Caenorhabditis elegans: one gene and its partner. The protein of the gene in region 1 purifies or fractionates together with the protein of each later gene. This does not show direct contact. Each region holds a gene or a part of one and is shown in the gene's direction. Other genes may lie near its edges.

The links. The genes of interacting proteins can lie anywhere in the genome.
Region 2: the proteins of K09C4.10 (region 1) and K05C4.3 fractionate together in Caenorhabditis elegans (co-fractionation; one large-scale study listed by BioGRID). This does not show direct contact.

What each region holds. Positions count from the first base shown.
Region 1 is NC_003284.9:3,275,497-3,281,983, reverse strand, and holds K09C4.10 (SPK domain-containing protein), read left to right. Parts: upstream 1-1,753; 5' UTR 1,754-1,784; coding exon 1,785-1,841; intron 1,842-1,884; coding exon 1,885-2,020; intron 2,021-2,269; coding exon 2,270-2,447; intron 2,448-2,495; coding exon 2,496-2,577; intron 2,578-2,622; coding exon 2,623-2,759; intron 2,760-2,819; coding exon 2,820-3,016; intron 3,017-3,060; coding exon 3,061-3,238; intron 3,239-3,286; coding exon 3,287-3,382; intron 3,383-3,431; coding exon 3,432-4,622; intron 4,623-4,676; coding exon 4,677-4,862; intron 4,863-4,945; coding exon 4,946-5,103; intron 5,104-5,155; coding exon 5,156-5,401; intron 5,402-5,453; coding exon 5,454-5,534; intron 5,535-5,592; coding exon 5,593-5,777; 3' UTR 5,778-5,977; downstream 5,978-6,487. Other genes in the region: K09C4.7 (uncharacterized protein), read right to left, coding at 6,371-6,487.
Region 2 is NC_003279.8:14,748,105-14,755,454, reverse strand, and holds K05C4.3 (F-box/LRR-repeat protein), read left to right. Parts: upstream 1-1,677; 5' UTR 1,678-1,738; intron 1,739-2,312; 5' UTR 2,313-2,316; coding exon 2,317-2,374; intron 2,375-2,419; coding exon 2,420-2,680; intron 2,681-3,140; coding exon 3,141-3,256; intron 3,257-3,303; coding exon 3,304-3,488; intron 3,489-3,544; coding exon 3,545-3,702; intron 3,703-3,752; coding exon 3,753-4,047; intron 4,048-5,771; coding exon 5,772-5,958; 3' UTR 5,959-6,310; intron 6,311-6,355; 3' UTR 6,356-6,837; downstream 6,838-7,350. Other genes in the region: mtx-1 (Metaxin-1 homolog), read left to right, coding at 1-114.

The sequences.
Region 1 (6,487 bases):
TGTTAAAATTTATAAACTTTTTTTATAGCATACCGATTTTTCTGAGACTGTGGGGATTAATGTTATGAGTCATTAGTTTTCATTCGATTTTTCATTCAAATATATAGAGCTACCCCAAGTGTCCCAACCAATTGTCTGCAGCATATGACTACGAAAAGGGGAAACTATAAATTTTCAACAAACGAATTCCAAAAAAAAAACTTACATCTCGACCTGTCAAATTGTAAAAATTCAGATTTCCCTATTCATTTTTAATTACTCATTAATGCACCACCAGACCTTTTAACCAGAATTTTGAAATTTTGAAATAAAACTTTTTAACCTTTGTGTCCCATATTACGCACGATCACATAACTCGCGAATAGTTGCTTCAATTTTACGATTTAATGCTTCAATTCGAACTTTCAAACAGCCAAATTCTTTATCGCAATTTCGGTGAAATTTTGTAAAAAATTTATGTTGCATTACTCACAAATAATACAAATTGATATTTCAAAATTTGTTTGAAAAGCAAAATTTTGAAATATATTAAAGAAATCCAGTAATTATATAAAGATGCCATGTTTTCCAATATATTATTTCAATTTTCAAGGCGGTGGTTACAACAAGTATACAGTATGTTACAGAATATAATTCACAGTTAGCATTCGGTTTATAGAATTAAAAATCAAAAGTTAATTACAGAAAAATGAGGTAACAAAAATATTATTTACGTTTAATTTCTAGTGCTTATTCTTTAATTCCCAATTTTAAACTGTTTTTGATGATTCAAAATATTGTGTCATCAATGACCAAGGTTCTTCTGAACCTGAACGTTCTGGTGGTAACAAGTCACAAATGCTCTTTGCAGGGGAACGGGTGTGAAGTGTCGTCAAGTGTGGTGTCGTGTGTGCATGTTCACACTGCGTTGCGGACTTTTTGACTGGTTGTCCTGGTAATCTCGCATCTATTTTATGGAATCCTTCTAGAACGATTTTAATGAAAAAAAATCTATTTTTTTCTGGAACTAATCTGAAAGAGGCTATCAACTTTTTAAATTATCAATAGTGGTCAGAATTTTTTTACAACTTGTGAAAACGCGAAGACAGCTGAATTTTCTGAAAATGTCATACATGCAGGTGTTTTATTTCTAAGATAAAATTTTTATACAGCTTTCTAACTTTTTAAGCTTCCATTTTCATTTTCTCTTTAGTAAAACGTGAGAGGCATTTTGTGGAGAATCTCATTTTCAGAAAGCTTTTTTTTAATCTGTGAATCAGATACTTCCAGTACAAAAAATTTTCCCAGCGAGATAGATGTTTTTTCAACTACTAGAAAAATATTATCATCAACATATTCATAAGCAGCGCGGTCGCATTGCGGCTCTAGGCCGTCTGTTTCAAGTAATCGAGCCTTATTCATTTCTCTTTGCCCTCTTTTTTCCATTTCTTTGTGCCTCTCAACTGTGACCTGCTTTTTTCCCTTATGCACATTCGTGTGTCGCACAATTGTTTTCACTTTCTATTCAGTAGGAGCATCAATCACGCCTACTGTTTATCTTCACACAGACACTGGCAGGAAATAATGGGGCTCACAAAACTGATTGCTTTGAAGAATGCTTAAACATGTTATAGACTAATAACATGCCTCTTATGCCAAACGTTGTAGAAAATTATATGCTTCTTTTGCTCTTGGAAAACCACGGTTTCCCTTTCTCTCACTTATTCTCAAAGTTTTGTCGTTTCTTTATTTTGCAAAATTTGTATATTTTCAGGACTAATAGAGTCACCGAAAAACGGTAAACCATGTCCGCCAACTGGGATTTGATTCTCAGGTCGTCGGCGGACAAAGAAGATTTGAAGGTATAAATGAATACAAAGACACAGTATCATTAAATGTTTGCAGAGAGAAATGACCTACGTCAGCTACCATATGGATCTTGGAAACGGAATAAACAAAGAACTTCGCTTTTCTCTCAACAACAAAAACACCTATGTCACTCATTATATGCTGGAAAAACTTCCAAGGCCATCTATTTTAAGTGAGTAATTTTTTAAGGCAGGCTGTTACATACTAAATTTTGCGCCATGCTTTTTGATTTTATCAGATGTTTGTTAATTAAAAGTTGCAAATTGTTTTGTGATAGTGAGGCCTATTTTCATGTGTGCCTAATTTTATATAAATTTTAGCATAGGCCTAGTTAGAGTCAAAAACGGTTAAGTTAGTCTGCGAGATTGATCAAAATCTTACATTACATCATACTATATCATCAGTATATTCTTGCTTTAAGAACTTGCCGATGACATGCTTTTGGCCAGAATGTCCTACATCTCAAAAATCTTCAACGAGTACAAACGTAGCCGAGGCAAATTCAATTTCCTAGGCGCACTCTGTTTCATAAACGAATACTTGTCTGACAACGATCTCACTGGTGAATTCGAGTATCAAAATTTTTCTGGAAAAAATGCGTAAGAAATATGGTGCATTTGGTTTCCAGGAAATTTTTTTTTTTGCAGGTGGGCTGAACCAAAAAGGGTGATCGACGGAGTAGCGGAGTACAAGAAAATTACAAAAACTAGGGAGCAGCTTTTCGATGAAGTCGGTTTAGCCACTAAATGATTTTAATGATTTTTCACTTTTCAGTTTCCCGTCCCGGGGTATGACTGGCTTTTTAGCAACAAACTCGACAGCCCAAACGAATGTGGTGAATTGGAAGCTGCTCACCGAGCCCGGCGACAACGACTAATTTTTGGCAAAGACCTTCCTAAACCTGCTGAATGGTTTGTTTTGAAATCTTTTACATGTTTCACATCATCCATATATAGACTATAATTTTTCAGGGACTACGACAATTGGAGAGAAAACTTTTTGGAAGCTCAAGGAGACAAAATTCCAATTCAGGAAAGCCAGCCCAGTTCAAAGGAGCTGATATGCTCTTTTCTTGGAATGCACTCTGTGGATAAGTATCGCGAGTTCCGTATTCGGTATACAACTGAAATGATGAATTTTAAAGTTGATGATTATACTGCTCTTGCCGGTAAGAAAATTTACCTTGTCGAAGCCTACTTAAAGAGTTTTCAGAGGAAGTGAAAAGTCTCATGAGAGCCCGAGAAGAAGTGTCGCGCGAAAAGTTTTTGTGGGCCACATCCAGATTATGTGTAAATGAGAACACGGTGAAATATTTTTACGCAATGTTCAAACAAGGAGTCAAAGCTCTCGAACGCTATGAAACCGAAAACATGAATGAAGAGGTTACAGAGTAAGCTTTCTTTCTCTCCAATTTCGACATTAACCATCTTTTTTTCAGCTGGAGTGAACCCAAGCCACTAGCCAAATTTTACAAATTTTTCAACAAAACACTTCACTACGAAACTACAGTTCCTGCTCCACCGACTGAGAAAATGTAAACTACATTGTTTTAAAAATTTATGCAGCACAGTATTTTCTTTCAGTATCCTGGAGACTCATCAATCTGGAATAGACTTCATGAATAGTTTCAAGCAAAGCGCTCAGCAAGAAGTTGCTCCGACCTCACTGGTTTTTACATCTGCTCCACTAACGGAAAATGATATTTTCCCAGTTGCTTATGGATCTGAAAATCATATTGCTGAAAAGCGCGAGGATGGAACTATTGAGAAAGGATCAGACACCAAAATTGAGCAAAATATATCCAATGGATCGTCTAGAATTGATGACACTGTCGAAGCAACCGATAATGTGCCTACCTTGGTAAACACAACGCCTACCGAGCAAACAAAACCAACTCTCTCGTATGCAAAAATAGTCGAAAAGTTCAGCAAGACAGACCAACAACCTGCAAAGTCAGACAACTCTTCTCCGTCACCGCGTGCTCAAAGACTTGAGCAGAACTTGGCAACGTCTGCCAACACAATTCCATGTCTCTCGGGAAATTCGGAAAATTCAGAAAATTCATATGCTCCAAAACATGATAACGCTGAAAACGTGGGAGAGTGGAAAGAAGTGGTCTCTAAGGCAACGACGAGCAACAGCAACAAAAAGGGAAAGAGTAAAAGCATCGGTCAGAAGCAAAAAGAGACAACTCAAGATGTTGGCAAAATGGGTATTACGAAATCTGAAGAACGTTATGACGGAAATGGCAATGAGCATCAAAAATCTGATTTCAATATTTCGAAAGGTTCAAGTGAATCTGAAAACGGTGATTCACTAAAATCTGCGAAAAAAAAGAAAGCATCAGAGTTTACTACGCTGGATGCAAATAAGTACAATATCGAGAAGGAAAAAGATTTCCCCTCAACTCCAGCAGAGGAGTATTCAGCTTCTTCAACAGACAAGGAGGAGGTCTCAAAACCCACTAAAACTTCCATTAAAAAAGCTAAAAAAGCTGCAAAGGCGGCAAAGCGCGAACAAGGAAAGGGAAAAGACAACGCAACTGAATCGACGATTGAAAAACTTGTGATGATAGCTGATGATAACTCTTTTGTTGAAGCCAAGTTTGATGTGCAAATCGTAAAAAGTAATGACAAAGAGCCAATAAATCCAGAAGAAGAGAATGGAAAATCACCGATGGAATCTGTTGAAGCTCAGTTTTCAGATGGTTTGGCAACTACTTTTGTGAATAATGCCTTGCTTGCAGCTCAAAACCTTTTGCAGATGCCCGAAACGTATGTGTACCCAAAACGTACCACATTAAATTTTTGATGATTTCAAATTTTCAGAGTATCCCATTCCAATATTCAGTACACTTCTCTCCCTGATGAGCCAGAGGACGAGGGCTCAGATGCGTATGTTCCAGGGCAGACAATAACTCATGACTACCGACCAGGCGTTCGTAGGCACGGCAACGGAAGCGAATGCTCTTCGTGCAGTTCTGCACACGAGTTGCCATCGTTGGATGATGACAGGTTGGTGAATTTTAAATTGAAAAATTGAAAAATTTTATTCTTATTTATTCTGATTCCAATTTATTACGACTTTCTGTTTTCAGAGAAGGACGTCTATCAGACAACAATAATCGGGAGAGTAGATCTGCACCAACATACCCAACTCTGTTTTTTGACACCGAATTCTTTGACGCTAGGAAGGTGAACTTAGCAAAACCAACTCCTGAATTTGTGGAACGCGCGTGCAATGCAGCTTTACATGGTATGTAGTTATAAATCTCTCAGTTTTTCACATCAGGAAAAAAAATTTGCAGACATGTTCCGTCGCCTGAAGTATCTTGCCGACAAGAAAGCTAATGGAGGACTTCGCAATGTTGAGCACGGTCGTAGACCACTCATCCAGAAGCGGCTCCAAAAGTTCCAGAATGTTTATGTTTTCCGCTTGAGAGTTGCCAAAGCAATGCTTTATATTTTGGATAATGATGTGGCTGCTGAGTCGACTAACATCCGCGAGAAAAACGTTATCAAAGATTTGCTATTGTATATTGGCGAGCCTGTTGGTAAGTGAATTTTTTGTTTAGTTTGAAGTTGATTATTATAACCTTTGTTTAGATTCCAATGCCGACACACTGAAAGGAAGAAAATTGGATAGAATTGCCGAGCATACCAGATTTGCTGATAACAATGAGTCAGGTAACACACAACTTATTTGGAATCCTTTCAGCCCTTTTCATATTTGAATCTGTTTCAGACTTGATAACTCGTGGCCTTCGCTACATAGATCTCAGAGTATCAGAACTCGAACAGTCGGAGCCTCTTCGTGCTCAGTATGCGGCTATCGGCGACCGAGTCTTTGCTCTGATGAAGGAGCAAGAAGTGCTTCTGAAGATCATCGGCAACAGTGTGGATTTCCGTGGATATGAAGAATACCTGTGAATTGTCACATAGTATGCGTTCTTTTTTTCGAACTTTTGTTTTAAATTCTGTACTTTTATGTGATATTCTAAGTCATTCCTGTCTCTTGTCACAATTCCATTCTCCTCTATTCTCAAATCCTGTTTTCTTTCGCTTCCCAGTTTCCATTAACGCATATATATATATATATTGAATAGTTCAAAATGAATAATTATTTGGCACGACAAATCTTTATGATAAAAATGAAAACACATAAGTTAAAATCTAAGTTTAATAAGTATGATTATTTTTGAAAATCAAGAGAATTTTACGATTTAATACCATACAAATCAATGCATGTTACTTAATAGATGAACAGAACTGTGGAATTAGTTTTATAATTTACTGACATATCATTTTAGCTTTGTGAACAATTTTCAGTTAATTAAAAACTCTTATTCTCCATAATATTTTTTCAAAACTCATAGTATCGTTTATAAACAAAACGCATAAATTAAAGAATAGATGTAATATAGAAAATATGAAAAACATGCAACTCAATATTGGTAATTGTAAGAATACAAAAAAAAAAGAATAGCAGTAAGCGGTAAAACAGTTTATCAAGAGGAGTTCTGCTAGTTTTCAACAAAATCGATTTTTTCAGCCATTGAAAGTGCTGTCTGTGATGGCAAGCTGTTTCCTAGAATCTCTGACGGAATTGGAATCAGACCAGAATCACGCGGTAGAAATAG
Region 2 (7,350 bases), on another chromosome or scaffold:
CCTCCAATGCGGGATGCGATTCTCTTCACTCTCGGAGCTCTCACGTTGTCATTAGTGTTCGCAATTCATACCGGTCTGATTCAAGTGTCAGTCGAAGAGGAGATCTCTGAGTGAAAATTGTTGTATTTCTTTTTAAATTGTTCTTCTTTTTTTGCTTGCCCCCTACCTACTGCCACCCACGAGACGACAAAATCAGAAATTTTCTAGTCCCTCTACGTTCATCTGATTGCATTTTATTGGTTCATAGAACATTTTCTGGTAGATTTATTGGATCGTAAATATAATGAATGCTTTATTTCCGAAATTTAGCTTTTTGCGCTTTTTAGTTGGATTTGGACGGAAGCGAGGAAAAATTGAATCAGATATGAATTTCGAACTCAAAAAAGCAATTATCAATTTCTATACATTTAAGGAAGAAAGATCCTCAACAAGCTAGAACTATTGTTAATTTTAAAAAAAGTTAATTTTAATTACTATATATTTGAACAAAATGATAGGAAATTTTCAATTCCGGCAAATTGTCGGTTTGCCGGAACTTGTCAATTTCGGCAATTTATCGGTTTGCCGGAAATTTGAAATTCCGGCAAATTGCAAGTATGCCCGAAATTTTCAACTCCGGCAATTCGCCGATTTGCCGGACATTTTCCATTCCGGAAAAATTTGCCGATTTGCCGGAAATTTTAAATTCCAGCAATTAGCTGATTTGCCTGAAATTTTAAATTTTGCAAATTTGCTGATTTGCCGGAAATTTTCAATTCCGGCAATTAGTTTATTTGCCGGAAATTATAAATTCCGGAAAAATTTGCCGATTTGCCGGAAATTTGAAATTCCGGCAATTTGCCGATTTGCCTGAATAAATCGTTTTCCGCCCAGCCCTGGTTAGAACTATTACGGAAACTCAAAATTCTGAGAATGCGTATTTTACAACATATTTGGCGCGCAAAATATCTCGTAGCGAAAACTACAGTAATCCTTTGAATGACTACTGTAGCGCTTGTGTCGATTTACGGCCTCGATTTTTGGAATGCTTTGAAATTATTTATTTATAAGTATGTAGAATAATAAAATTAAACGAAAAGGGAAGAAATAATACGAAGAAACATTTCGAAAATCGAGCCCGTAAATCTACACAAGCGCTACAGTAGTCATTCAAAGGATTACTGTAGTTTGTGGTAAGTTTTAATTTTCAGTGAATGCCCCTGAGCACATTCTAACCTTATACTATTTTCCCTTACTATTTCGATCATCAGGAACTTTCCTCAACACTTTTAAAACATAAATATTTAATAATAAAGAGCTTTTTTTTGTAAAACTCGAGAATATTGAAACTCTTCTGGTGAAATTGAAATTTTTTGAAAAATTTTAAGAGTTTACAAAATGTCGAATTTGCTTTTCTTCATATTGCAGCGTTTAATAAGTATTTGAGACATGTGGAGTCTTAAGCTTGCAAGCTTATGAACACACCATATTGATAGAGAATTGTATTTTTTATTCATTTATTACAATTCCCCTCGTACAAGTTCTCGACAACGAGTTGACAACGATTCATCTATTTCAGGAGGTCAAAGAGTACACTCCGGTCCAAAAGTAATATGACTGAGCACAGACATTGTCTGTTGTGAGCCTGCTGAGATAATTCTGCGTCTTCTACGTAGAACAGTGTCTTGTAGCGTCTCTCTTAGCCTTCTTGCTCTAAACTCACCATTGTAAACGGTGTATAACCTTGAAGAAATACGAGGTTGGTTTTATTTTCGTAGGTTATGTTGTTTCAATTTTTTTTTCGATTATATAAAGTGTATGGTTTTTTGATAGAGGAGGTTTTCAACATAAAACATGGCTATTAGCATGATAGTTCAATTAATGTTTCAACCTATTTACAAAGTTTTTTGAATAACAATTCAATGGGGTTATTCAAGTAGTGTCGGAAAATTATAAAGTGTAGAAAAATGGCGTCACAAATGTATTGAAATTCATTTTTTAAAAAAATGTATTTTATACAGTTGTGTGTCATAATCCCATAACTAATCTACAATTTCTATAAGTTTTCATGATTGATTCGACTTCTTCTTGGCCACATGAGAAAACTGCATTTTGGAGATTTATCAATGGAGCATTTCTATGTGATCTAGTCTAGGACCCAATCTATTCATCTCAAACAACCAATAATATGTGAAGCATATAAAACATTTACTGTCTAGTTTTTTCTAACTTGGAAACTTTTTTTCCAAACCAGCTTACTATTAGCATACTATTCACATATGTTCATATTTATACTTCATATGATTAACTACCCACAGTTAATTACATTTCAGGAAAATGATAAGTTCACTTTATAATTTGGCAATTGATAAAGTTATTACAAGTATCACTAAAGGTGAGTTAATGTCACGACCACATTTATATAAAGTAACTATTAAAGGCCACTATCAAAACAGAAAAGAAAGCTGCAGTCTGGATCCAAAATCCAGTAATCAAATATTTGCGACACTCCTCAATAACCGTTTTCTGTTGTCTTGTGAACTCAACGATATCAAAGGACTCGTCTTTAACCTGACAGATGTCGACTTGAAAATGAACTTAATTCACCATGAGTCTATGAAAATGACCAAGTCTCATTGTTTAGACTCACTTGCCTTAGGTTCATTCGCATTTGTGCATAGAGATTATTTTTGTGGAATAAGTGAGTAGAAGGAGGGTTTGTTGTTCTAAACTGTAATATTCAGTCATATTAATTAGAATATGAAAGGAAACTGCAAAAAAATCAATGATGCACAAGACAATTTGGTACTTGTGTAGTACATACCTTCATTTCAAAATTGAATTAAATTTTCATTTCTTTTTCCATTCAAATTGAATGTGATAGGTATATATTTTTTACCTGTTAGGCTTACTAGAGAATATCTTCCACCAGCATGCCTTAATATGAAAGTTTTTACCGCAAACGGTATCTATGATCATTGGCTAACATAATCTATACTAGTGCAAAAATTCTGCAAAAATAGCTAACCGTGTGCTCTTTTGCGTTTTTCAGTCAAACTTTCTCATACTTCATCGGATTTTTTCGCAGTTTATTTTTCATATTCCTACTAATATAACTGACTATGAGATCCTTTAAGTTCCTTCTAATATAAAGTTTACAGAACGGATTAACATTGTCGGCATACTAAATGACATTCTGAACAAGGGATCCCAAACAAAGCTGAAGCATTTGGAGATCAGAAGTGCCGGATTAGTTTCTTATGGATGGTCTACCAAAGTACTTTTCTTTCCTTGAAAATACAACGCTTTTTTTTTAATTTCTAGATTTCGGATATGCTTCCATCCCTCAAAAGTTTAAAGGTTACTTACATAGTATTCCTGAAAGGAATATCCAAATTGAAAAACCTACAACAACTAAGCATCAGAGACTTGGAATTCAGGGACTGCGAGAATTTGATGGATTTATTTAAATTATTCAATTTAAGAACCCTAGAAATGTCTAAATCTAAGTAAGTACACCACTTTCAGTTTTTAGATTCCCAAATAACATCACAAAATATTTGAGACCACTAGAGACATCTAAAAATATCAGAAGGTTTGTGGAGTGTGGGATGGCTCTACCAGCGTTGAGAGTTATGGATTGCAGTGGAACTGACATTGAAGAAGAGCTATTTGCAAAATTGTCGAGATCTCATCCAAAACTTGAAAAATTTGCATTATTAAGCAAGTTTCTAAGTTTCTGGATCCCGAAAGTTTAAACATTTGGATTCCAGATTGCCATTTGCAGTATTCGACGTTGCTCACAAAAATTACAGTTCTCAACTCAGCGACATTGGCGTCTTCTCTCGAAACTCTCAACTATTACACGGATTTGAAACGAAGTGAACCTGCCAAAAAGTGCTTGTCAGATATGTTATTTCTGTTGAGACAACGCAATGAATACGATTGGGCTGATTGTTTGAAAATTATTTTCCGTGTGATTGAGACTTTCGTTACGGACACTTGTTCACTGGGCAGCGCGACCACTCCACATACAATTGGAATACTCTGTGTGGCAGAAATTGCAACGTGAGTTTAAAGGTGGAGTACCAAAATCTAAGAAATATTTTCAAATGACTCCCTGATTCCGAATAACTGACAAGGAAAGTAAGTTAATCTAGTCCCGGACTTCGAATCGAGACGTATGTCATTTGAAAGCTTAAGGTTAGCCTAGATCACCACAAAAATTTTAGCGGCGGAACTCAACTCTGAACCAGGGGTGTGCGGCAAATTTGCCGATTTGCCGAAAATTGCCGACTTGCCGAGCTCGGCAAATTTGCCGATTTGCCGAATTCGGCAAATTAAAAAAAACCAGCAATTGCCGATTTGCCGAGCACGGCAAATTTCAAAAAAGTAGATTTGCCGAATTTGCCGAGCTCGGCAAATTTCGAAATTTGCCGCACACGTCAAAAATTTTACAGTACAATTTTGACTAAAATTATTGATTTTTTCGCCAAAAATTTAGTAAAATGACACAAAATTGAGTTATTTTGATGCTTAAGCAGACCTAAGACTACACGGAACTAATTCAGAAACCAGATGTGTGTTAAGAATTCGGTAGTTTTGGTGGTCCAAAAACATCAAAAATTATCAAAATTTTCCGAGTTTGTTAAGCACGGCAAACTTGCCGAATTTGCCGTGCTCGGCAAATATTGAAAAAAGAGATTTGCCGAATTTGCCGAGCTCGGCAAATTTTGAAAAACCAGCAATTGCCGATTTGCCGAGCTCGGCAATTTTTTCCATTTGCCGCACACCCCTGCTCTGAACCTTCAAAGGTACATCCATTACATATTTCAAGAAATTTTTAAGCTTAAAAACCACCTCATATTCGGTGCAAAAGGCCCAATTGGAAGAAATTTGTACCTTTTTATATGCCCCGATACAAAAAAATAGTTTTGAAAATTTTTCAAAAAAAAATTTTTTGACCAAAAATTTGGCCTCAAATTTCAGATTTTTTGCAAAAAAAATAAAAATTTCCAAAAAGCTTCCACATTGTTTGTTTGACACTAAAGACCCCCAAAAACAATTTTTAACCGCTCATAGCCACTTTTAAGGCCATTTACTTGACCTTCAGCAAAAAAATGCACTGTAGCACTTTCAGATGGCGCTTTCAGGGGTTCAGAGTTGAGTTCCGCCGCTGAAATTTTTGTGGTGATCTAGTCTAAACATAAGCTTTCAAAAGGCATACGTCTCAATTTAAAGTCCGGGACTAGATTGACTTCCTTTCCTTGTGAGTGAAAAAATTAAAATTGCCTGATTTCATATTTCATCTTAAAATCGCTTGTGCATCCATGAGATTTTTCAAACGCCAAATATTCGCGTTAGTGACGCCATGTGTCGATTTACGAGATTTGTGTATATTTACGAAATCCTTAATCTTTATCGGATGCTGATTTCCGTTTTTTAATGGGGTTGCTCCATTTTCGTCGGTTTCTGCCAAATTTTTTAAAGAAAATTTATATTATCAAAAAACTGACAAACTTTCCATTGCTTAGGTCACAACTTGACGGAAAATCCAAATATATGCTTTTCCCAATTGAAAACCAAAAATTTGGCTAGTTTTTTGATAACAAAAACTTTAGCAAAAACCGACTCGTTGAAAAAATATATAATCAGTGGCAAATTTGGAGTCATTTAAAAATATTTCTCAGATTTCGGTACTCCACCTTTAATGTTTTCACCAGCTATGTTAGTCGTTGTGGATTTTGGTTTTGGTGGTTTCGGTGAAAAAATGAACATTTCCTATATTTCAGAAATAATGCTGAACTACTACGTCCAATTGACGCAACAAAATCGTTACGTATATTGCTCAATCTTACATATACGTTGAATCGAACGGATACAGACATTACGCGAGGACTTAAGGAATCGATTTGGTTGGCGATATTTATATTTGTTTTCTGGAAGAAACATATTCCGATCCGATACTCATTGTTTTAATATTGCAAATAATTGCAAAATGCTTTCTAAGAAAAACCACTAATTATAAAATTTCGAAGGAAACTATCAAAGACTCAAATATCCTCATTAGAACTTTAGAGCATTGCACGTCTCTACAGAATCATTGGGCATGCAGAACAATCATCAAAACGATGTCCAGTACGATTATGAGTAATCCAGAAACATGCCTTCATGTCATTGAAAACGGAGGAGCCAAAGAGTTGTTCAAGTTTTTATTGGGATTTGACAATGAAACTATTCAACTTGGAATTCTTCGCATTTTGAGAAGTCTAGTGAGTATTCCAAATGCAAATTTTGACAAGTTTATAAATGTAGATGTTCAGTACTTAAAGTGAGTAACTCATACTTTTCTCTCAGAAATCTAAGAAAATTTCAGACAAATATTCAACAAATGGAATACAGACAGACTATATATTCTTTATTCAATTCTTGCGATCCTTCTGAATTACTCTGATCAAGTTGATCAAAGTTTTTGGAAATCTGTTAATGAACTGTTAGAAAACAATTATCATCGGCTGAAAACAAGTGAAAATGTTGATATCGATTTGAGATTTCTTCAGCGCGTGATGGCAACAACACAATTTGATGGAACAACCCTTTGGGTTATTTATACAACAAAAAAGATGATGGAACAAAATAAATACTATAGAAAACGAGTAAAGGAATCGAATATATTTAACTTGATGAAGAATGTCAGAGTGAAGAAGGATCTGGCGAAAGTTGAGTTAGAGCTAATTTTAAAGAGTTTGAATCAATTATATAATTTATAAGTTTTTCTAAAAAATCTCTTATTGATTTGATTTGATTTGATTTGATTTGATTTATTACTATTAAAATCGTGATGAAATAAAAGATGAATCGTATAAACCCATTGAAAAAATAAATGCATAATACATATTGTTATTGCAGACATTCATACTTATTCATTACTCGAATAAACGAATTTCGTAGTGAGACGTTTTATGGCGGTTCAAAATTTCGAAAAAGTTACACTGATTCTAGCTGAAATCTCGAATTCGGCACACTTCAGTGTCGCAGCTGTCAGAGTTGCCATTTCTTGAAGTATCACCTTTTATAGCATATTTTGGTTGTTTTTTCTCTTGTTATTTCGTTGCATATTACAGGAACCCAAAATTCCGAGAATGCGTATTGCACAGCATATTTGACGCGCAAAATATCTCGTAGCGAAAACTACAGTAATTCTTTAAATGACTACTGTAGCGCTTGTGTCGAATTACGGGCTAGATTTTTTTAAAAAGAAATTCATTTCGAAAATCCAGCGCTACAGTAGTCATTCAAAGAATTACTGTAGTTTTCGCTACGAGTTGTTTTGCGCGTCAAATATGCTGTACAATACGCATTCTCCGAGAC